4 linked regions of the Drosophila melanogaster genome follow. Changing the gene in region 1 together with any one later gene gives a genetic interaction. Each region holds a gene or a part of one and is shown in the gene's direction. Other genes may lie near its edges.

What was found.
Region 2: of trp (region 1) and rdgB, changing one suppresses a phenotype caused by changing the other (phenotypic suppression), as found in Drosophila melanogaster (one study listed by BioGRID).
Region 3: of trp (region 1) and Calx, changing one suppresses a phenotype caused by changing the other (phenotypic suppression), as found in Drosophila melanogaster (3 studies listed by BioGRID).
Region 4: of trp (region 1) and rdgA, changing one suppresses a phenotype caused by changing the other (phenotypic suppression), as found in Drosophila melanogaster (2 studies listed by BioGRID).

The regions. Positions count from the first base shown.
Region 1 is NT_033777.3:29,914,290-29,922,219, reverse strand, and holds trp (transient receptor potential), read left to right. Parts: upstream 1-1,930; 5' UTR 1,931-2,156; coding exon 2,157-2,305; intron 2,306-2,363; coding exon 2,364-2,601; intron 2,602-2,662; coding exon 2,663-2,805; intron 2,806-3,192; coding exon 3,193-3,394; coding exon of another isoform or gene 3,395-3,403; exon of another isoform or gene 3,404-3,414; intron 3,415-3,488; coding exon 3,489-3,665; intron 3,666-3,832; coding exon 3,833-4,067; intron 4,068-4,122; coding exon 4,123-4,421; intron 4,422-4,478; coding exon 4,479-4,846; intron 4,847-4,907; coding exon 4,908-5,265; intron 5,266-5,580; coding exon 5,581-5,800; intron 5,801-6,011; coding exon 6,012-6,177; intron 6,178-6,232; coding exon 6,233-6,393; intron 6,394-6,452; coding exon 6,453-6,607; intron 6,608-6,667; coding exon 6,668-7,624; 3' UTR 7,625-7,699; downstream 7,700-7,930. UniProt on the Drosophila melanogaster protein: A light-sensitive calcium channel that is required for inositide-mediated Ca(2+) entry in the retina during phospholipase C (PLC)-mediated phototransduction.
Region 2 is NC_004354.4:13,761,109-13,765,755, forward strand, and holds the start of rdgB (retinal degeneration B), read left to right. Parts: upstream 1-1,643; 5' UTR 1,644-1,837; intron 1,838-1,960; exon of another isoform or gene 1,961-2,003; intron 2,004-4,647. UniProt on the Drosophila melanogaster protein: Catalyzes the transfer of phosphatidylinositol (PI) and phosphatidic acid (PA) between membranes. May control phosphatidylinositol concentration in transport vesicles from the subrhabdomeric cisternae (SRC) to the rhabdomere.
Region 3 is NT_033777.3:20,976,583-20,981,186, forward strand, and holds the start of Calx (Na/Ca-exchange protein), read left to right. Parts: upstream 1-1,600; 5' UTR 1,601-2,538; intron 2,539-4,604. UniProt on the Drosophila melanogaster protein: Na(+)/Ca(2+) antiporter that couples the energy of a Na(+) electrochemical gradient to the movement of Ca(2+) against an electrochemical gradient across a membrane, which contributes to the regulation of cytoplasmic Ca(2+) levels.
Region 4 is NC_004354.4:8,923,379-8,928,210, forward strand, and holds the start of rdgA (retinal degeneration A), read left to right. Parts: upstream 1-1,805; 5' UTR 1,806-2,318; intron 2,319-4,832. Other genes in the region: CG12661 (uncharacterized protein), read right to left, coding at 1-240; CG43255 (uncharacterized protein), read left to right, coding at 589-996. UniProt on the Drosophila melanogaster protein: Required for the maintenance of phospholipid turnover within the photoreceptor.

The DNA.
Region 1 (7,930 bases):
ATGGTGTTCCGATGTCGAAGCGCCTTTATATACAGAAGAAGTCCCTTGTCTTATCTTGACCAAGTGTCAAACTACCCATATGTTGAGCTGGAGGGCAGTAAATTAATGTCATCCAGATTACATAGGAGCAAAAAGACAAAAAATAAACAACGCAGAGGCTTGTACAGCAATATAAAAAACGTAAACTTATCAGTGTTCAATGATTTGCGAATCAGTTAAAAATACAATAAATTTAATGTTAAATACTACTCATCGGATGCAATTCATAAAATCATTTTCTACGTGGGTACATTCAATTTGTTTAAACACATAAGTATCTTATCGGTGCCATAAAGCAAATCAGCATTGATACTATAGATTTTTACGATCATGTTGAGGGCTTAGAGATATAATTTTAATACAGATGGCCATAAAATGAATTTTATCCCGCAATCTTGACGGTTTCCGGTGGGGAGACAGTGAAAGTGCAACCTGCTACGCAAACCCAGGGAAAATGAGCTCTTTCGCTTTTCTCGTGGAGAACTGAGCACATAACTCACAAGGGTCCTTAAAAGCTAAATAAGGCAGGAGTTTTGTTGGAGGCCAATGAATCATTGAGTGCAACCCAGTTGTACACTGCAGAAAATCATGTATAAACCCAACATAGCATTTAGTTAATGGGAACTTATAAGAAGAATGTGCATTTAGCCACATTTGTGTAATGAGGAGTACCTTTATATAATTACGAGAATGCCATCCAGGTATTTTCAGCTATGGCCTCTAATTAATTCGCACTTAATGAGTTCCCCTCGACAGCTGTGACTTTAATTTTGAAATTCCTTGGGCCACCATCACTTCCTTCCTCTTCTCTTGGAAGCCATGCGAGTGGAGTGTGGAGTGCATTGGCCCCGCTAAAAACCCCGTACGACTTGAACACGTACGATGCCATTCCGCCCGGAGCTCCATTGAACCCCACCTTTCGAACACACACATTCATCTCAAAGGGCTGCTCCGTGAAAGTGGGCTTGTTCCTTTTCCTTTTCTCCGCCTTTAGCCAGGAGCTGGCATTTAGTTCCAAGTGCATTGACACACAAAAGCCCTGCGAGCGCCCTGAAGTAAGCAACATTCAACATTCAAGGCTCAAGACGCTCGGCTGCCAAGGACGAGTTGGGTCTTAGATGTACACCACCCCACCTCCCCCTCCCACTTCCCATGCAGATTAATCAATATTCATCAATCACAAAGTCAGAATCACTGACCCAGTGCCCAAAAGGCATTCGAAATCATTTCAATTCGGTAGATACTCGACTGTAAACTGCAGGTGTGGTGTGTTTTCCGGCTCTGTTGGTTAGCCAAAAGCTTAAAAGCTTGCATTTTCTCCTATTTTTAAGGGCTTTTCTCGGTGAATAGTTCTAGGATATGAACCCAAGTCCATGAATCCCTATTTACTCGCAAATTAACACCCTCATGCTACTTTTTGAATATTAAGTAGCTTTGAATTTCGGCTTGAATAGGTGTCAAAAAGTATGCAAAGTGCGTATTTTTTTTTTGGGCATTGATCTATATTGCTGGGTACAAAATATTAGACACCTATTTAATTTCATATCTCAACTGTATGCATCATTTCATCGAAATATAAGCAGATAATATTGTTCCATTTAGCACGTTTTGTTTTTCACTTACATATAAACCCACTGGGCAGTATTGATTTGGATTTTCAGGCATAAAAGTGGTGCGATTCCGTTGCTGGGGCTTCGAAAATCGAAAGTCGCTCATCACGTGCAATGCAACCACAAATGGACGAAAGATTCCTGAACTGAAATCGCTAAAATCGGTTGCTGCCTCCAAATGCAGCCCCACAATTACCGAAGTGCGGTCAAATGGGCCCATTGACTCGGGGTTCGCCCACACATTGACCGAGTTTTAGCCACATTGGGCACTAATGTAATTAGTGGAATATAGCGACCCGTGGCTGCCACTTTTCAGCAGTGCAACGCGGCTAATTGGAGGCGGAACATCGCCACGATGGAACACTAAAGGATACAGTGCGCGAAAGGATTACGCCAAGGCTCCCCGAGGAGCAGGGATAAATGCCCATAGTGTTTGTGAGATGTGAAGTGACCGAGTGATCCGATCCTGATAATCGCGTTCGCATAGACCAGTAAATCAGTGCAGATATGGGCAGCAATACGGAATCCGATGCCGAGAAGGCGTTGGGGTCTCGCCTGGATTACGACCTGATGATGGCCGAGGAGTACATCCTCAGCGATGTGGAGAAGAATTTCATATTGTCCTGCGAGCGGGGTGACTTGCCAGGTGTCAAGAAGTGAGGCTTCCTCCCTATGGCTTCGAGTAACTCGGCTAATATGATTTCGTCCTTGAAGGATCCTCGAGGAGTACCAGGGCACGGACAAGTTCAACATTAACTGCACGGATCCCATGAACCGCTCCGCCCTCATTTCGGCCATCGAGAACGAGAACTTCGACCTGATGGTGATCCTGCTGGAGCATAACATCGAGGTGGGCGACGCCCTGTTGCACGCCATCTCGGAGGAGTATGTGGAGGCGGTGGAGGAGCTGCTGCAGTGGGAGGAGACCAACCACAAGGAGGGCCAGCCATACGTAGGTCACATCCTGCCGCAGAATATGCCACAACTCTTACTCTTTTCCCCTCCTTTGGCAGAGCTGGGAGGCGGTGGACCGCTCCAAGTCCACCTTCACCGTGGACATCACGCCCCTTATCCTGGCCGCCCACCGAAATAACTACGAGATACTCAAAATCCTCCTGGATCGCGGGGCCACGCTGCCCATGCCGCACGACGTCAAGTGAGTGGGGTGGTGTAGGGATGCAGTTGCTCGGTGATATGGCTATGTAGTGAGCTTCCTCGTCCTTCGAGCGGCACGTTCCATTGTTTGTCCAATTGGCAACACACTTATGTAGCACATCGCTGGGTGCCTCTAATTTTAGATAATTGCGGGCAAATTAGGGTGAAATATTAATACAGGGTGTAATGTTGTGTGTGGGAAGAGCAGGTCCTTGAATGTTCTTAAATTGGGTCAATGGACTCAAGCCTTTAACAGCGTCATAAATGTCCTTGCTAGGAGAGAAGGTCCTTTGTACTCCTTTCAGATTGATTTAAATGTATTTATTATTATAGAACTCTTGGGTTCCGTACACTTTGTATATCATCGCTTAATCTCAATTGTTTCTAGGTGCGGCTGCGATGAGTGTGTGACCTCCCAGATGACGGACTCCCTGCGCCACTCGCAGTCGAGGATCAACGCATACCGCGCCCTGTCCGCCAGCTCGCTGATAGCGCTCAGCTCCCGGGACCCTGTACTGACCGCCTTCCAATTGTCCTGGGAACTCAAGCGCCTGCAGGCGATGGAATCGGAGTTTCGTGCCGAATACACGGTACGGTAGTAGTGTGCAATGTAAGCGGTGGCCAGTGTGCCACTAGAGTCTATGCGAATGCGAATGCGAGCCTTTGTTTGTGTTTGCCCAACAGGAGATGCGTCAGATGGTGCAGGACTTCGGGACCTCGCTCCTGGATCACGCACGCACATCCATGGAACTCGAGGTGATGCTCAACTTCAACCACGAGCCGTCCCACGACATCTGGTGCCTTGGCCAGCGGCAAACCCTGGAACGACTGAAGCTGGCCATTCGCTATAAGCAAAAAACGGTGGGTTCGGACTAATCCGTGCACATTAAGGAACTGTGAAGGTTACAAGCTTGTGGCTAGATACCCATGCCTAATCCACCACAGACCAACTGGGATTTAATAGCTTTATATATAGAAACGGATCTTAGTACCCTGCTTGAATTTATAAACATTACTCCCCCTTCTAGTTTGTGGCACATCCAAATGTCCAACAATTGTTGGCCGCCATTTGGTACGACGGACTGCCGGGCTTCCGGCGCAAGCAGGCCTCCCAGCAGCTGATGGATGTCGTGAAGCTGGGATGCAGCTTCCCCATCTACAGCTTGAAGTACATCCTGGCCCCGGATTCCGAGGGTGCCAAGTTCATGCGCAAGCCCTTTGTCAAGTTCATCACGCACTCCTGCTCCTACATGTTCTTCCTGAGTGGGTAAAGTGGGTGCTTAACACTTCATCCATCTAAATATGCGCCCATTCACAGTGCTCCTGGGTGCTGCCTCCCTGAGGGTGGTGCAAATCACCTTTGAACTCCTCGCATTTCCCTGGATGCTGACCATGCTGGAGGATTGGCGCAAACACGAGAGAGGTTCACTACCGGGTCCCATTGAACTGGCAATCATTACCTACATAATGGCTCTAATATTTGAGGAACTGAAATCTTTATATTCGGACGGCTTGTTTGAGTACATCATGGATCTTTGGAACATAGTGGACTACATATCGAACATGTTCTATGTGACGTGGATTCTTTGTAGGGCCACCGCTTGGGTAATCGTCCATGTGAGTCCATATGAATCTAATGAATAAATTGGAGTTACTGAAACGAATTGATTTCAGCGTGATCTCTGGTTCCGGGGCATAGATCCTTACTTCCCAAGGGAACACTGGCATCCGTTTGATCCAATGCTTCTATCAGAGGGCGCCTTTGCTGCCGGAATGGTCTTCTCCTATCTAAAGCTCGTCCACATCTTCTCCATTAATCCCCACCTGGGACCCTTGCAAGTTTCACTGGGTCGCATGATAATCGACATCATCAAGTTCTTCTTCATCTACACACTGGTGTTGTTTGCCTTCGGATGTGGTCTCAACCAGTTGCTATGGTACTACGCTGAGCTGGAGAAGAACAAGTGCTATCACCTGCATCCCGATGTGGCTGACTTTGATGACCAGGAGAAGGCTTGTACCATCTGGCGAAGATTTTCCAAGTATATTACATTCATTTCTATGTACTTTATCATATTGGCATCCCATTTCAATTTACTTTAGCTTATTCGAAACATCACAATCGCTCTTTTGGGCCTCTTTTGGCCTGGTGGACCTGGTCTCCTTCGATCTGGCGGGAATCAAGAGCTTCACCCGCTTCTGGGCACTGCTAATGTTCGGCTCCTATTCGGTTATCAACATCATTGTGCTTCTCAACATGCTGATTGCCATGATGTCCAACTCCTACCAAATCATCTCGGAGCGAGCCGACACTGAGTGGAAGTTCGCCCGATCCCAGCTGTGGATGAGCTACTTCGAGGATGGCGGCACCATTCCACCGCCCTTCAACCTCTGTCCCAACATGAAGATGTTGAGGAAGACCCTGGGCCGAAAGCGACCGTCACGAACCAAGAGCTTCATGGTAAGTTACACTCAGAGAAATTCAATATTTCAGTTTAAGTATTATACAAATCCACACATATATATTAAATTCAGTGTACTCTACTTTTAAATGATATTTCTTATCATATTACTTTTAAATGTAAGTAACATTTCGAAAGTTCGATTTTTTCAAGTTGAATCACCTCACAGTGAGAGGCGGCTCACAATCAATACAAATCTTAAGCGAAATCATTTTCAATCAAGCCCATGCAGAGCTATCTGTGCGTCAAATTGACGTCTAATACATCCTTTCTGTGTCCTTCCACCCTCTAATGCTCCCTGTTCCAACTCCCAGCGAAAGTCCATGGAACGGGCACAGACGCTGCATGACAAAGTGATGAAGCTGCTGGTCAGGAGGTACATTACGGCGGAGCAGAGGCGGCGGGACGATTACGGCATTACCGAGGATGATATCATTGAGGTGCGCCAGGACATCAGCTCCTTGCGGTTCGAGTTGCTGGAGATTTTCACCAACAATAACTGGGATGTACCCGACATTGAGAAGAAGTCGCAGGGTAAGGGAAGCCTACCCACATCCAAATTGGCAACTTACACGTGTCTTAAGATAGAAGTAGCAGTATATATGAATAATTATTTACAATTAGCTTTTGAATACCTAATAAAGTTCACCCCATCTTGAATATTAATTTGAAATATGTTGTGCTAGAAGACTACAAAGCTAGAATGGATTTTAATGGATTTTATTCACTAAACTTACTTTTGAAGGAGTTGCTCGAACCACCAAGGGCAAGGTGATGGAACGTCGCATCCTTAAGGACTTCCAAATCGGCTTCGTCGAGAATCTGAAGCAGGAAATGAGCGAATCTGAGAGCGGACGAGATATATTCTCATCGCTGGCCAAGGTCATCGGCAGAAAGAAGACCCAGAAGGGGTAGGTCCACTTAAATCTGTAAGACGCTTTGAATAATGGTTATTATTCTCAACAGAGACAAGGATTGGAACGCCATTGCGAGGAAGAATACTTTCGCCTCCGATCCCATTGGCTCCAAGCGCTCCTCCATGCAACGTCATAGCCAGCGAAGCTTGAGGAGGAAGATCATCGAGCAGGCGAATGAGGGTCTTCAGATGAACCAGACCCAGTTGATTGGTAAATTAATAAAGATGTGCCCAATGTATGTATATTTCCATACCCTTGATCTCCTCCAGAATTCAATCCCAACTTGGGTGATGTGACGCGTGCCACAAGAGTGGCTTATGTCAAGTTCATGCGGAAGAAGATGGCTGCCGACGAGGTTTCCTTGGCCGATGACGAGGGTGCTCCAAATGGCGAAGGCGAAAAGAAGCCACTGGATGCCTCTGGGGTACGTTCCAATCAATATATGTATATGTATTCCCTGGCTAATATATAATCTCACTTGCAGTCTAAAAAGTCCATAACTAGTGGTGGAACTGGAGGAGGAGCTTCTATGTTGGCTGCAGCTGCTCTAAGAGCATCGGTTAAGAATGTGGATGAAAAATCCGGAGCCGATGGCAAGCCCGGCACGATGGGCAAGCCAACGGATGACAAGAAAGCAGGTGATGATAAGGATAAGCAGCAGCCTCCCAAGGACTCCAAGCCGTCAGCAGGTGGTCCCAAGCCCGGGGATCAGAAGCCAACTCCGGGTGCGGGAGCTCCAAAGCCCCAAGCAGCTGGCACTATCAGCAAGCCCGGTGAGTCACAAAAGAAGGACGCTCCGGCACCACCAACCAAACCTGGAGACACCAAGCCTGCTGCGCCGAAGCCTGGAGAATCCGCCAAGCCCGAGGCCGCTGCCAAAAAGGAGGAGTCTTCCAAGACCGAAGCTAGCAAGCCGGCAGCCACAAATGGAGCAGCCAAGAGCGCAGCTCCCTCCGCTCCTTCGGATGCCAAGCCGGATTCCAAACTGAAACCTGGAGCAGCTGGAGCACCAGAAGCAACTAAGGCAACCAATGGGGCCTCCAAGCCGGACGAAAAGAAGAGCGGTCCGGAGGAGCCAAAAAAGGCTGCAGGAGACTCCAAGCCAGGAGACGATGCCAAGGACAAGGATAAGAAACCCGGCGACGATAAGGACAAGAAACCTGGCGACGACAAAGACAAGAAACCTGCTGACAATAATGATAAGAAGCCAGCCGATGACAAGGACAAGAAGCCGGGAGACGATAAGGACAAGAAGCCGGGTGACGACAAGGACAAGAAGCCGAGCGATGATAAGGACAAGAAGCCTGCCGATGACAAGGACAAGAAGCCAGCAGCAGCTCCTCTGAAGCCGGCGATCAAGGTGGGTCAGAGCAGTGCCGCAGCTGGCGGAGAACGAGGCAAATCCACGGTCACAGGACGCATGATCTCCGGCTGGCTCTAAGCCGCGGAATCCACTTTCATAGCAATTAAATAGTTAAGTCCTTTGTTTGTGTGAATAATAAAAAAAAAGAATCTCAAGTACCACGTTTCTGCAACTTGTTGCTAAAGGCCACCTGTTGCCAGCAACATCTCATTTGCATCGCAGCAACATTCATCATCCGCCCCGTTGTTCCGATGGCAATTTGTTTGTCTGCCATCCATCCGCCTGCTTTTCTGGCCTATAAAAGAACGTGAACTTCGACCAGAGGAATCAGAAGAACCGTGACCGTTCCGAGGATAACATCAGACCGAAAAACATATTCGCCAA
Region 2 (4,647 bases), on another chromosome or scaffold:
AAACAATCAAAAAAGAAAAATCTATAAAATCCCATAAAAATAAAAGCTGCAAATTTTCGAAAAGTCAAGTTTTTTAATAGCAATAGCAATGGTTATTCTGGATTGGATTCTAACTTTTATGGTATTAAAAAACACACACAAGAATTTGCTGGGCACATTTTTAGGCACCCCTTCTGAAGTAAATAGAAAAATTTCCGAAAATATACATATTTAACATAGTAAATCGGCCAAACAACTTAAATGAGCTAATAATAAAAAGATAAATGCATATATCACAGGTGATCTTAAGCAGATGCTTAACCAAAAAACAACACGATAAATAAAGCAAACAAAAAGTGCCTAAAATACAATTATGATACCTAATGAAAGGTACACGAAAGAAAATGTAGATAATAAATAAACTGAAAAGAAATTAGGAATAACTCATAAAAATCAAAATTTAGAAAACTGTGCAGCTTGGTATTTACTAGCACCCTAGATGCTTAACAGGATTGCGAAGTTGGGATGGAAATACGCACAAGGAGATGGATGCATTGAGTGGGCGGAAGTGAGAGTGAGGCAACTAGTGTCCGTTGCCATTTGATGTGCACTCAATTAAAATTTGCATTCGGTTTATCGTTAGTGACTACTCGTTCAAAAATCACTGGGCAACCTGTGTAAACTCAATTGTTCCTTACAGTTTTGGGACATGCGCGGTGTAAATGTCAAAGTTGAACTTTATCAAATGCAATAGACAAACTAGAAAGGGCAGCGAAAACAGCAGAGTCGAAAATAGAGCGAGATAGGGAGCTGGAGTGACAGGAGCGGAATGACAACAGTTGGCGTCTTTTGTTTGTGCATGTCGTGACATGTTTGCTTTGACTCTGACCGAACGGAATGCGCCGTTAAGCTTATCTTCTTACCGTACACTTAGAGCGTCTTCTCTCTCTCTCTCTCTCACTATTTGCCCTTCAGCGTTTGTTCTTCTTTTTGGGCTTGGCAAGCTCTTGCTCTCGCTGCTTTTCTCCAGAAGAGAGCGCACAAGGACGCCGGGACGTTGGCATTTTGTGGGGTTCTGGCCATCCGAGTTTCTTGCAGAAATTACTGTATATTATTCATTGGCCGATATGCATAAATCCAATTTACGAAACCCCCCCTTTTCAGCCTAGCCAGCTGAGTGTCCCCGCAAAAGGAGAGAAAGGCAAAGAGAGTGAGAGTGACGCTTTCTCGCGCGCTTTTGTTGCGCACAAATAAAGTAAGGGGTTTTCCGCGAATCGTCAGTTGAGAATTGAGAACTGAACTGACCGTTTTCAGAAACGGTGGCGTTTTAACTTTTTTGTTATTTAATTAGTCCTTAAATAGTCCTTTTCTAAAATGTACTTAAAACATGTATGTATATGTAATGTAGAAATAGTTTTTTAATATCTAAGCAAAAATTATCCAGATTGCAAATATGTACATACATACATATGTATTTATGTATATACTAGTATACTTTTTATGAGTCTGGCGATTTTGCGGTGATACTCATTTTCGGAACGCCTCGCTCTCTCCGCTCATTTCTCTTGGCTTTGCTTTTGCTTTAGCTTCGTTTGCTTTTCGGCGTTCGTTCAGTTCAGCGTTCGGCGTTCCGTTCAGTTCATTTCGGTTTGGTTCATCTTACTTCAGTTCGGAATCAAACGCGAGCCGAGTCGCAATCGCAACTTTGCCGCCGCGCAGCGCACGCTGTTTTTTTTTCAGTGTGTACGTTTTGATTGCAAAAAGAAATAAGCAAACGCAAGGCAAGCAGCAACAACGCTGAAAACATTTTTCATCTGCGGCCTGGAAAAGCGCCCCGAAGAAAATGAATAGATAAATTGTATTAATCGCCCAATCGAGTCAGCATATATCCACTGTATATTTATATTTTGTTGTGCGTTGTTCGTTGTTTTTTTTTCTCCTTTGCGCTTTGGACCTTACTCTTTTGTTGTTAATTGTCCAGCTGCCCGCAATGATAATAATGTGAGTTGGCCCGCCGAAAGTTGGTACGTTTTCCACTGCTGCTCTTTTTTCACCTTTGTTTGTAACAAATGGAATAGTTTACAACAAAATTCGTAAAATTAGTTAAGGATACTTCGGTTGTCGTGTGTGTGTGTGTGTGGGTGGCAGCTGCGTAAATGCGTAAGCTGCGTCGCGTTTGTGTAAGTGTGTGTGTGTTGGCTGTGGCCAGGTCTCAAGGTCCCGTTAGCTCTCTCCCACCGCTCTTCCTGTTTCACGCTTTTGCTCTCTTTTACAAACAACAACAAGTCTGTGATAAGAATTTTCCATGCGTAATTTTCACGTAAAGCTTTGTTTTGTTATGTTTGGTACTTTTGCACTTTTATAAATCGGATAAAGTTTATTACAGTTCAGCGTTTTAAAAAGTCTTTTATAGCCATCTTAATGATTGATTTTTTAAAGTATTTTTTAAGGAATTTAAGTCAAATTAAAAATAAAAATATTAATTTATAACTATTTCTTTAAAAAAATGCTTTAATCTAAAAATGATAAATTTCTTAAGAATAATATTGTTAGAAATGTTTTCATTATGAGTTCATAAAAAATAACTTTTTTTGGTTAATGTTCCATAAATAATTTTTTACACATTTCATTATACTAAAAAAATAGGAACTTAACTCAGATGAAAAATAAAAATATTTATTCGAAAGCACTGCTCTGGAATTTATAACCATTGGTTTTTGAAAAAAAGTCTTTAATCTTAGAAATTATGAATTTCCTATGATTAATATTTTTAGGAATGTACATTTTTCATAAATGAGTCTATAAAAGATATCTTTGTACAAAATAAATATTATTATATAGGCCCTTTTTGAGATGAACCCAAGAAATACGTTTGTTGTGTTCTTATTTTTGCTGCTTATTGTATTTATAAATTATTAATAAGCACAAAGCGTGCCACAGGTGTGCACGAAGGAGTGAGCGAGACGGGGAGAGTGGGTGAGAGCCAAAGAGAGAGTACGTGACCTTTTTTTCTTGCTCTTTTCCGTCTAATTTAGCTCACTAAACTTGAGACTCGGATTTAATAGGCTTTCTTTCAACCTTTGCTTTCTTTGCATCCCAACCCGTCTATTTCTGTCTCTGTCTCGCGTTCATTTATTTCCGCTTGAGTGCGTTTTCTGTTGTTGTTGCTTTTCTTCGTTTTATTACCTTTTTTTGCACATTTTTCTACACCTTTTTTTTTATTGTATTGCTTGGTCAATTACCATGGCAATTTATTTATCAGTTTGGCGTTTTTGATGTTGCAACAATTGCGCAAATTTATTTCCTCTATTTTCACTATTTGAGCTTCTGTCTGGCAGACTTAATAACAAAAATGGTTTTGTGCATAAAAGCGTGGAATTTTACCCATCTTCATCTTATGATTTTACACGGAGAGAAAAGTATATCAAGCAATCTTAAAAATAATTTAAATATCAGAGTGGACATGGATAAAATGTGCATTGTGTTAATATATTTTAATAATATTAATGAATGAAAATATTTGTGATATTGCTCTTACTTTTCTCCGTGTGCATACCCTTGCTTTACCCTTTGGTCACATCATAAACAAAAATTTTTTAAATGACAAAATACATCATAAACAACCACATTGAAGGCTACGTGCACTTTGGCCGGATCTTTTATAGCCAGCACATGTGTGCGTTTGTAATTTGTTTATTGATGCACAGTGGGCCGCTTTTTCATCTCCGGGCTGCTATATCATTTAAAAAAAAAGGTGTTTTCTAGTCTAGATTTCTCGAATGCCCCCCGCCAAATAAGAAGACTTTAAGCGAATCGTAAATAATGTCCATTTTTTTATAAGCCCCATAAAGGAAGCTCCATTGTAATAAATCTTATCGCTGCAAAGTTTTTTCTCATCGTGAATATTAACATTTCTTATCACTTTTAACTGCAGGTGCTTTCTTCTTATATGAACTTTACTTGTGTTCTCTAAAAGTCGTAAAAATGTACATACATATGAATATTAAATTGGGAAAAGTAATTGCAGTTGTAAACAAAACCTAGCATTCTTCATATAGTGCTAACTGCACATTGTTACTTTCGCTAGCTTAACAGAAATTTTTTACACCAAAAAAGTTGTTTCACAACTTTAAAACAGTGGAAGATACATGTTTTCGTTATGAAATTATCTGTTTTTCTTATATATAGGACACACTTTCGATAACCTTTGACCCAGTGTAGCAAAGAAAATCTGTTGGCGCATTTTCTGTGTCACAAAATGTAATTATGCTAAGGAGGCAAAAAAAAAAAACAGAAAAATGGTGATGTGTGGAGGCTAACGGGGGGTGGAGAGTGCTAGGCGAAAAGGGGGCGTGGCATGGCAGGGGGAAGGGGGCCTAAAGCGGTGGCCATATTGTTGGGGCTTACGATTCGTTACGGCCTGCCATGTAACTGCCATGACATAAACATGTGCATGTCTGTGTTCGTTTCCCCTTCCCCCACTGCCCGCTGTGCCCAATAATTATTGATTGACGGCCCTCCTTTATTGTGCCTCTTATTTTAGCATCTAGAACATCCCGCCCCCTCCCCCATTTCCCCAACAATGTCTATCCAGATCTTATTAGGATCAAACCATATATAACTACAAACTAATGAAACTATGCCATAATATAATTACATATATCAAAA
Region 3 (4,604 bases), 8.9 Mb from region 1:
AAAGCGGACGAAAAAAAATGGACGCCAAATACAAGGTAGCAAAAGGTTGTGAGCGCACACACTGGCACACATGTTCCTGTACTGTACTGTACTTACAGCAATGGCGTGCAGCGTTTGCTTCTCTTTCGCTACTTTTGCTGCTTTCGCTGCTGCTGTTTCCATTGCTGCGTTTATATGGCCATAAGGCTAACGCTATTGTCGCGGCAGGTCTCTCAGGGGCAACATGGGGAGGTCGTTGCGACAGCGGCAACATTTGGGTCTTATTAATTTCCGTTTTGCTTATTTATTTTTACGACGCCTCGCACAGCTCGCCATTCGGTTCGCAGTTCTGGGCCCGTCAGCAGCCGAACCGCCGAGCCATCCAGGTCCCCAAATTCTAACGCAGTCGCCATAGTCAAAAGAACATTCGTAAGGAATTCCACCTTTAAAGCCCCGGTGATACCCTACGATTATTTAGAGAGGCATATTACACAACCGTAGATGGGGAGTACTAAAATGTTAATTCATTGCTTAATTCGATTGCCTTAATTTGCTGCTTTAGCTTTGATTTAATACATGAATTATAATAATAGAAGAGAAGAAGATTACTTTAAATTAGGAAAACTGATTTATAATTAGAAAAAAAAAACTACAAAATATTATTATTTAACTTTTTAAGTGAAGTTTTTATGGCGCGGTATTAAAATATGTATAGGTATTAAAATAAAATGCATAAGTGACTTGAAAAAGTTCGTAGGCGTGATGCTGCATAGAGAGCCAAGTAAAAAGGCGCAATCAACTAAATCAAAATTATACAGGGGAAAGCCATTTATCCGGTAAAACACATACCAATTAAGTTATTTTTAAAAGCTGACTTCAATGCGATCAAAAGCTTTCTAGCCAATTTGAGTTGGAATTGGCGATGTACTTCTCAAATTTGGTTTTGAATATAAATAAATATATATATTTAAATAAAATGTATATGTTGAGATCAATACTGTACTTCAACGCGTGAATAATATCATATTTTAAGCTTAAGAAATTATAAAACAATACAATTTTCAGAAATAAAAGATTTGGCCACGTGAACCTTTATTGGGTGTTGAAAATTTATATTTTTTTGCACCCCGATCTGCTAGTAATCACTTTCCCTAACGGTGCTTATTGTTAATAGACTATTTTCCAAGCATAGAGTACAGCAACTTGTTTCCAACCGACTTAACAGGGGCGTCAAAAACTTATGCGCTTGCTTGTCTAAGACAGCGGGTGGTAGAGGAGGGGGTGTGGGTGTGGGCTATACTAACCAGCAATGCCTCTACACCACCCTCCCCGCCAAACCTTTACACCCCCTGCGAAATGCGCCACTGCAACGAGAGGAAGATGGGGAACATCGGAGAGCGACAGCGAGAGAGAGCGGCGCAGTTGTTATCGCCTGGCCAGTGTTCCACTGCCACTCTGTTCCTTATCCTGTGCACTTTCTTCCTTATCTGTCCCGCTTTCACCGCCCTCGCACTCGCCACTCTCACTCTTCGTGTGCATTTCGGGTGCCCTTCGTGTCGCGACAATCGGCATTTTTAAAGAGGCAGTCGGCCAATGTGGCAGTCGGTTACTGGCTCGCAGGTTAGTCTTTCATTATCCGGCGTTTGAGCGTGTAACGTTTTCTCCGTGATTTCCACACGCAGCAGCGGTAAATACAACAACAACGACAACGAAAGAAGCAACCAAAACAATAACAACAACAATAGAAGAGAACAGCGGCAAACGGTTTTTCGCTGCGCTTCTCCTATTTTAAGTGCCGAGCGTTTTACTATTTTTACTACACAGCGAAACATACACAGATACACATATATACAGAAATATATGTAGGTATTTGTTGATGTGTTTGTTGTGCTTCAGTCAACAATAAAAACAAAAACAGTGTTTAAAGCTAGTGAAATGATCTTCCATAAATAAATTTTCAAAATTAATTTGAGAGCAAAAATGAATTGAAAGAAAATGCCAAGAAAGTGCAGCAAAAAATCAACAACGATGCTGTCGGAGAGTCGAAACTAGGCTAAATATCTTTGCATACTTTTGGGAAAGTTGTGCGGTACAAACACACACACCCGTTCGTAACACACACACACAGGACCTGCGCCTGCGGTCGCCGACTTTTGAACCTGTTTTCTGACCATTGACCATTGACCACCGACCGCCGTGCCGGCCGCCTCTTTTCACTTTTGGCAACGCGGACTGCAGCAGCCGCTGCAAAAAATGCAACTGTAAAGGAAGCTGCAAGAAAAGGAAAGGATGTGCACGAAAACGGCATAAACCTACAAAACTAGCCAAAAGAGTTCAGAGCGGTGCGGTTCAACAGCCTCCGGGTGTTCGTGTCAAGCTCGAAATTCGCAAATTCGGCGTCAGCTTCGTGCATCTGTATCTGTGTATCTGTATCTATATCTGGTGCATCTGTGTGCGGCCATTCTGCAGTTGCAGCTCTGCAGCGGCGAAAATTGTGTCAGCAGCATCGGCAGCGGATCCTGCAGCTCGCCACACTGGCGCCTCCATCTCCGATTGCCGGTAATGTATTCGTTTTAGGCGCATTCTACCCAAGCACGACTTAATCATACGCCACATGTGAAGTGCCGTGCGGTATGGCTAAGGCATTACGCATACGCCCCGTGTATGTGAGTATGAATAGTGCGGGCGGTCTTACCTTGACAACGGACGGGGGCAGTCCGTGACAATTGTCAGTTTGTTTTCCCATTTTCGTTTTTCTATCGATTAAGCCCACTGGCCCCTCGTTCGCCCTTTGTCTGCGAATTAGCGACAACTTCTGGGCCAAGCAGCATATGGCTATGTCCACCGTCTTTGTCTAACGCCTAATTGAGTCTTTTGTGAGTATCAAGAGACGAGCAGCACCGCAGAAGAAAAGAAAAGCAAATGGGGAATCCAGTTGACATCGGCATAAGTTCGAGTTTTAAGTTCCCTTGTGGACAGCTGGTTTTTGGGCTTTCTCGACTATCACATACCATAACTGCAATGGACTTTTTTTGGATCATTTTTCAAATTCTGGGCGTTACATATTTTCTTGATCATGATCGACTCGGCTTGTGATCCGGAAATGTATTTACTGTAGAGGATATAACTAACTATAAATAAAGCTGTATGGCATCCTAGCTTTGATTCTTACACGCTGTAAGAAACGAATGTCAGTAAGGGATATAATGTTAACATTCCAAAAGGCACGTCTCCCATATGAACATATAAAGTATATTAAGACTCCCAAGAAAAAGTAAAGAACTTCGCCAGAAAACGTTAGGCTTATGATTTCAGATTTCAGAGCATTAAACCACAAATGATTATTTATATGAAGTATATTTTACTGTCCCGCTTAGATGAAATTTTTCGCTTATACTGTAGACAGTGCCTAAAGTATCATGCCATCTGATAGGGTATCCATAGAAAGGAACCAAAGAAAACAATCAACACGGAGACTAGTAAACAATTGAAAAGCAAAAAACCCGCGACTCCTGCCCAAGTCGGCCAGCCCCTTGAGTTCTTTTTTCATTCATAGGACGATGGGTGGTAGCATTTGCCTTTGTCAATATCATTCAAGCTTTCATTCGCTTCACTTGCCTGACATTTGCTTACCATTTCAGTTTAGAGTTCACTTTGTTTCCCTTTGTACAAATAAATAGCCATTTATTCATTCACTCGGTTAAGGGGCTCCTTTTCACTGACCAATGAATGAAGGAAGGTCGTCCCATAAGTATTTGTCAATTGGACACAAGTTACAATGGAACTCAGTTTGGGGCTTTATATCTAATCAAACTAAATGGCAGCCATTAACTAGCTAGCTTAATCAAGTACCCAACATCAGCATGACTCGAAGCACTCAAAATGCTCGATTTTCTGATTCTGATAAGAGGAATACCTCGGGTAATTTAAAATTGAGTATGCAGCATATTCAGCGAAATGCAGAAAATCCAGATGAAACAAGATTTTGGAAAATTCATTTAATTTATGGCTCCGTCAATTAAAAGCAACAGACCACACAGCCAAACCGCAGTACAGCTCTCAGATGAAAATTCAGCGCTTTAAAGGCTTAGAGAAAAGTGGCAGGCACTCAAAAGCTTAGGCCTTGCATACGTAGCAGCCGCAAACAGTGGCGAAAAATTCTACTTTTTTCCATTTTCGGTGTGTGGGGCGACCAACTTTTCTAACTAACAAAAAAATAAACCGCGCACATGTGTACACAAAAGAAACTCGACGAAGAAAACTGCAAATATGTAACAAGATTCGGTCATGTTTGATTCATGAAACCAGCAGAAAGTTCCAGCCCCTCACCCAATTGAACAACAATGGTGAAATAAAGTTACAGTTGCTGTGGCCACGGCAACTGGAAGCCAACATTTCGCACAATGGCGCAGAATCAGCAGCTTTAGCAGCTGCCGTGCTTCCGGAAAAAATAGAGCCCCAAAAAGCATACTTTCGAGTGTAGAGTTTATGCAGGATTCCGTTGCAGCAGAGTTAATCATACATACGTCCTGACAGTAACAAATCTCCAGCTACGAGGCATAAATAAAAAAAAATTCACCCAGCTTCGCTTTACATATTTTCCTGTTAGATTTACCGTGTATGTG
Region 4 (4,832 bases), on another chromosome or scaffold:
ATCGGATATACCCTGCTGTACGAAGCAGCGTGATCGGGTCAAACGGATTTGGCAGCGATCGATGCACCGCTCCACCGCCTCCGCATTCGCGTCCGCATCCGCACAACAGGCGGTCGCACATCTGTGCATCTCGATCTGCAATTTGCGCAGATAATCCCGATCCAGATCCTCCATGGCGGTTAGGATTGCATTGTCAACGCGTTCTCGCTTCTCCTCCAAACTCGAATTGTCACAATCCATCTCGAGTAGTATAAAATTTATGGAAAATATAAAAGTCGGTTGGTAATTTTCGTTTGACTGCCCTTATTTGAGTTACGCAAAACGCAATGCTACTTTGGTTTTGTAATAATTTCTTCAATTTAAATAATATATGAGCAGGAAATGGGCGACTCGCAGTGTTAAGTAAGTTAGGTCATGTTCTTGACTCTTCTTGGGCAAATTTTTAAACTAAAGTCACGGCATTGACATAACTCAGTGTGAAGCTATCTCTAATTGAGTTTGAGTTAATTTGTTTTTTGCTGATAAGTGCACTACTGAAAGTGTATATAAGTAGAAGTTGGACAACGTGGCCGTGCATAGTTTTTAAAAATGCATTACTTGCATATCTTTGGGCTCTTGGTCTTTTTGGCCGCTTTTGGATTAAGCCTTGAACGTCGTGATAAGGAATTCTACGGGATATCTAAGGAGCAGCTAACGACTACTAAACATAAAGAGAATTCTGTGGAATTTGTACAACACAAGATATCCTTGAAGCTGCCGCAGAGATACAACCGATTCAAACGTCAGTCCTTTACGCCATTTGAAAGGCGTGTGATACGTTTACTACGTAAATTGGGCTTATTAAAAAGCGATGCTGAACAACTGTTGGATACTCTCGAAAAGGACAAGGATCTATTACGAAGATTGAAGAAGTTACTCGACGAGGTCGACACCGAACATGAGACCAATGATTTCCTTGAAGATTTCTTCGATTTAATATTTTTCAAAAAAATATAAGCAGCTTTCTTCCTGTTGTTAGGAATGATATTGATCGATAACAATATTGCCGATTATACCGATAATTAATGCCATAAAATCGTTTATTTAAATTGTTTTAGATATTGCAAACAATCTGATTGCTAATAGCTAACAATATCATTACGATAATCGTTTGGATTATTCTAATCCCTTACTTCCTCCATCGCCCTCACACGCCATCACTCTCTCTCTCTCTCTCTCTCTCTCGATAATTATCGATAGTTTGGGCACTTGTGTTGGACCAACTTAAAACACCGCACAAATGATTGCCATAAATTTGATGGCAACAAACAGCGACAACAAAAACAAAGAGTAGCGCTGCCGCCCGCACTTTCTCCGCAGTTCTCGCCATTTCTCCGCTCTACTTTCTCCGCTCCTCTCTCCACTCAATAATGTGCCAACTGTTGAGTTTCCTTCCGCTTCCGAATGCGAGCGCGAAAGAGAGAGAGCGAGAGCGAGAGAGGGTGTGAGACAGAGACGGGGCGAGCGGGAGTATGTGGGCGTTGGGCGGCAAAGGGTGAGGGAGTGAGAACGATACGGCCACTCGCTCGCTTGCTCGCTCTCGCTCTCTCTCTCTCCCTCCCTCCCTCTCTCCCTCTCGCTCTCTCGCCGGCATCGAAGGCTGCTTACAGGTGTTTATAGTACTTCGGCTTTTGCCGACCACAGCCGAAGTTGCCGGCCGATTGCTGGCCTCTCGCTCGCTCCCGCGCTTATGCTCAATAGCGCCCTCTCGCTCCCGGTCGCTTTATATTCCTGGCAATGCGTCGCCTTCGCATCAGTTTCATTTGAACGGTCGACGAGGCGCGTTGTTCTAGAAATAAATAACTCATTTAAATAGCAGAACAGCCCAAGCAGGCCAAACATTTCAAAGCAAAATACCAAAACTCTCTGGAACTACCAAGTTCTTAAAAAAAAACACCAACATCGCCCAAAACACAACAAAAACATCGCATACCATAAGAAAAACATAAACATACTGAAAAACTTACAATATCTAAATATAAAGTAACTATTTTTTTGATTGTGCTTCTAAGTGTTGTGCTAAACCAATATTAACTTGTACAAATATTCGAAAATATTCAAAGATATTCCAAAGTATTTATTCAATACTTGAAATATAAGCTACGATACAAACTTAAAACTTAAAACTATGTAAGACTAAGATCTAGTTTTTGTGCTTTTTGAATCCTAACTGTTAACGTGTAAAAGCACGCAAAAATGTGCACGAAATTTTGACTTGATTCGAACGACTGAAAAGTGCGTTCCATTGTAAAGAAAAACTAAAGCGGCAAACCGAAACGGTAAATATGAATATACTTATTGAAATTCATTGAAAAATTTCCTTGGAAAATTTGTTGATTAATTTCGTGATGTGAGAGTTTATTTGCCGTGTGTGATTGTGAGCAGCGTGTTTGTATTGTGATTTTTCGGAAATGTTTTTATATTTAGTCTTCAAATGGGGATTCCCAGATTTATTTAAAGTTTCAGCTACAATTTTTGGCAAATATTCGTAGTTTTAGGAAAAGCTCCACAGAATATTGTATTGTATGCTTCAGTTAATAGAATCACGCATGGAAATTATCAAGAATTCGGTTCTCAGCTTGTTGTGTTGAATTTGATGAGTTTTTTTGGAATATCATAAAATATAATCGGATTTTATAGTTTACAAAGAGTTTCAAAATTCCACAGATGTAAAATAGTTGACTCGAATTGCTTGAATATATTAATATATCTTAGTTTAAAGCAGTAATTTTTTAAAAATTATTTAAAGCTCGAGCTCTTTTTAGGCTCCACAAATATGTGTGCAACAATGTGTAATTTTGAATAAAATTCCGTGGAATGCCCTTTGCTTTTCATTCTGTATAAATTCAATTACCAACATTCTCATTGTCTCAGAGTATCCCCCTACTTTCGAATGTCTGTGTGTCAATAAGATGATTTAATGAAAAATCGTCTGCAATTTCGGTTCGAAATTCGGCAAAAACACGGCGAAACAAACTCGTTACGCATACGCCGTGTGGGCAATTGTATTAAACGATGCCATTCATTGAAAATTGCTGGCCAAAGCGAGCGGTTTAGGTTTTTTTTAGGCCACTCCGGTTAAGGATTTGGGTGTGCTCTTGTCGGCCAGCCAGTCTCGTTAGCCGAACTTGTTGCCACATTCGCATCCGCACTGGCATCCGCAACGACATCCGCACACGCATCCTTCGTGTACGTGTCCTTTTGCTAATCGGTGCGTTTAAGGAACTGCATGCTGGAGGATGTTGCAGCTCTTGTATTGGCGCGTGACCGGCTTTTCTCTGACATAAGAGCGCGAAATGGCGAAAATAACGTAATGGCGAAAGGCGGCACTCTGTGCGGTTGGCAATCTTTGATTTCGCATTTCCCCGGTAACAGGGGAAAATGTCAGACAACGTGGCGTATACGTGGCATTTGTGTTTGTGCTTCCGCTCGTTTGTTGTCCTCAAGTTTGCATTCAACGACGAAGGCACTTCGTCGCGGTAACCAAGTGTAAATATACAATTTAAATTTCTCTAAGGAAACTTTAAATTTATATATTTTTTTTTTAATCAATACGAAGAATTTACATTTTAAATCACCAAAGTATAAACATGAATGAAGCCTGCACATATTTGTAATAATAAATGTGTGCGCTTTGAAATGGTTTAAAGATTTTTGTTTTAGGCGACTTTGTTTGTTTCTGAAATAAAGAAATTGCTACCCATTTGTCTTGCGTACATATAAAAACGCGATGTTTCAATTGTTGATCCACAATTTTTTGTTTGCTCTTGTTTGCTTCGCTTCACATAAAATATTCAATTTTCATTTCTTGTCGCTTTTTTTTTATTCGTGACCCAGGGGTTGGGTTCGCATATAAAATCCAATAAAAATACACATAAAAATTGAAAACAAAATACAAAAAAAAGAAGAAAAAAAAAAAAACAGAAAAGAGAATGAAAATGGTCGAAAGATACCGCGGGCTATTTGACAGCAACGAGGGGGAAACACGTATGCATCGCATTTTGATTGCAGATTGTATATCCATTTGTAAGGGTGTTTCCTTTGCCAAAAGCACCGTGTTAATTAATAGAAATTGCCATTTGAACAATTTTTGGGAATTTCAATATCGAATGGAATTGCATTGCAAACCAAACCAATTACCAACCAGTGTGGTAATTTATTCACCATTTTTTACCCCCACAAAAATTTCCACAATCAATCATTGTTGTGTGTGGCAGTTTAGGTAGCTCAAAGAAGCTGGGGTCGGAAAAATCGAATTTTTGAAATTTGAAAGCTGGAATCGTTTGCCCATTTTTTGCCCATGTTTGCCCACCAATTAGTTTTTTTGCCCACGTCCAGTTTTTGAGATATGAATTTTCGAAAAAGTTCGAAAATTTTCGAAAATCAAAAATTTCGCTTTTTTCAAAATTTTTTTTTTTAAATCGCAATAACATCGTTTGCCCACGTTTGCCCACCCTTTAGAATTTTGAAAAAATTTATACTTTAGAAAATATAAGGCTTTTAAGTTTACCTCGGTCTAATCAGAGAGTAAATCGTTTGCCCATCTCTTAAAACCAAATATTATCAACAAAAAACGTTTGCCCAACCATTATTATTAGTTTTTATCGTTTGCCCACCCTTTAAAAAACCTTTAACAAAAATTTTTTTTCGATTGCCCACATTTAAAATACAACCAATTTCCTTAGCCCACCTCTTTAAAATAAAAATTTCCAATAAAAAACGTTTGCCCACCATTTAAAACTAAATAATTTCGATTGCCCACCTTTTAAAACTAAATAATTTCGTTTGCCCAC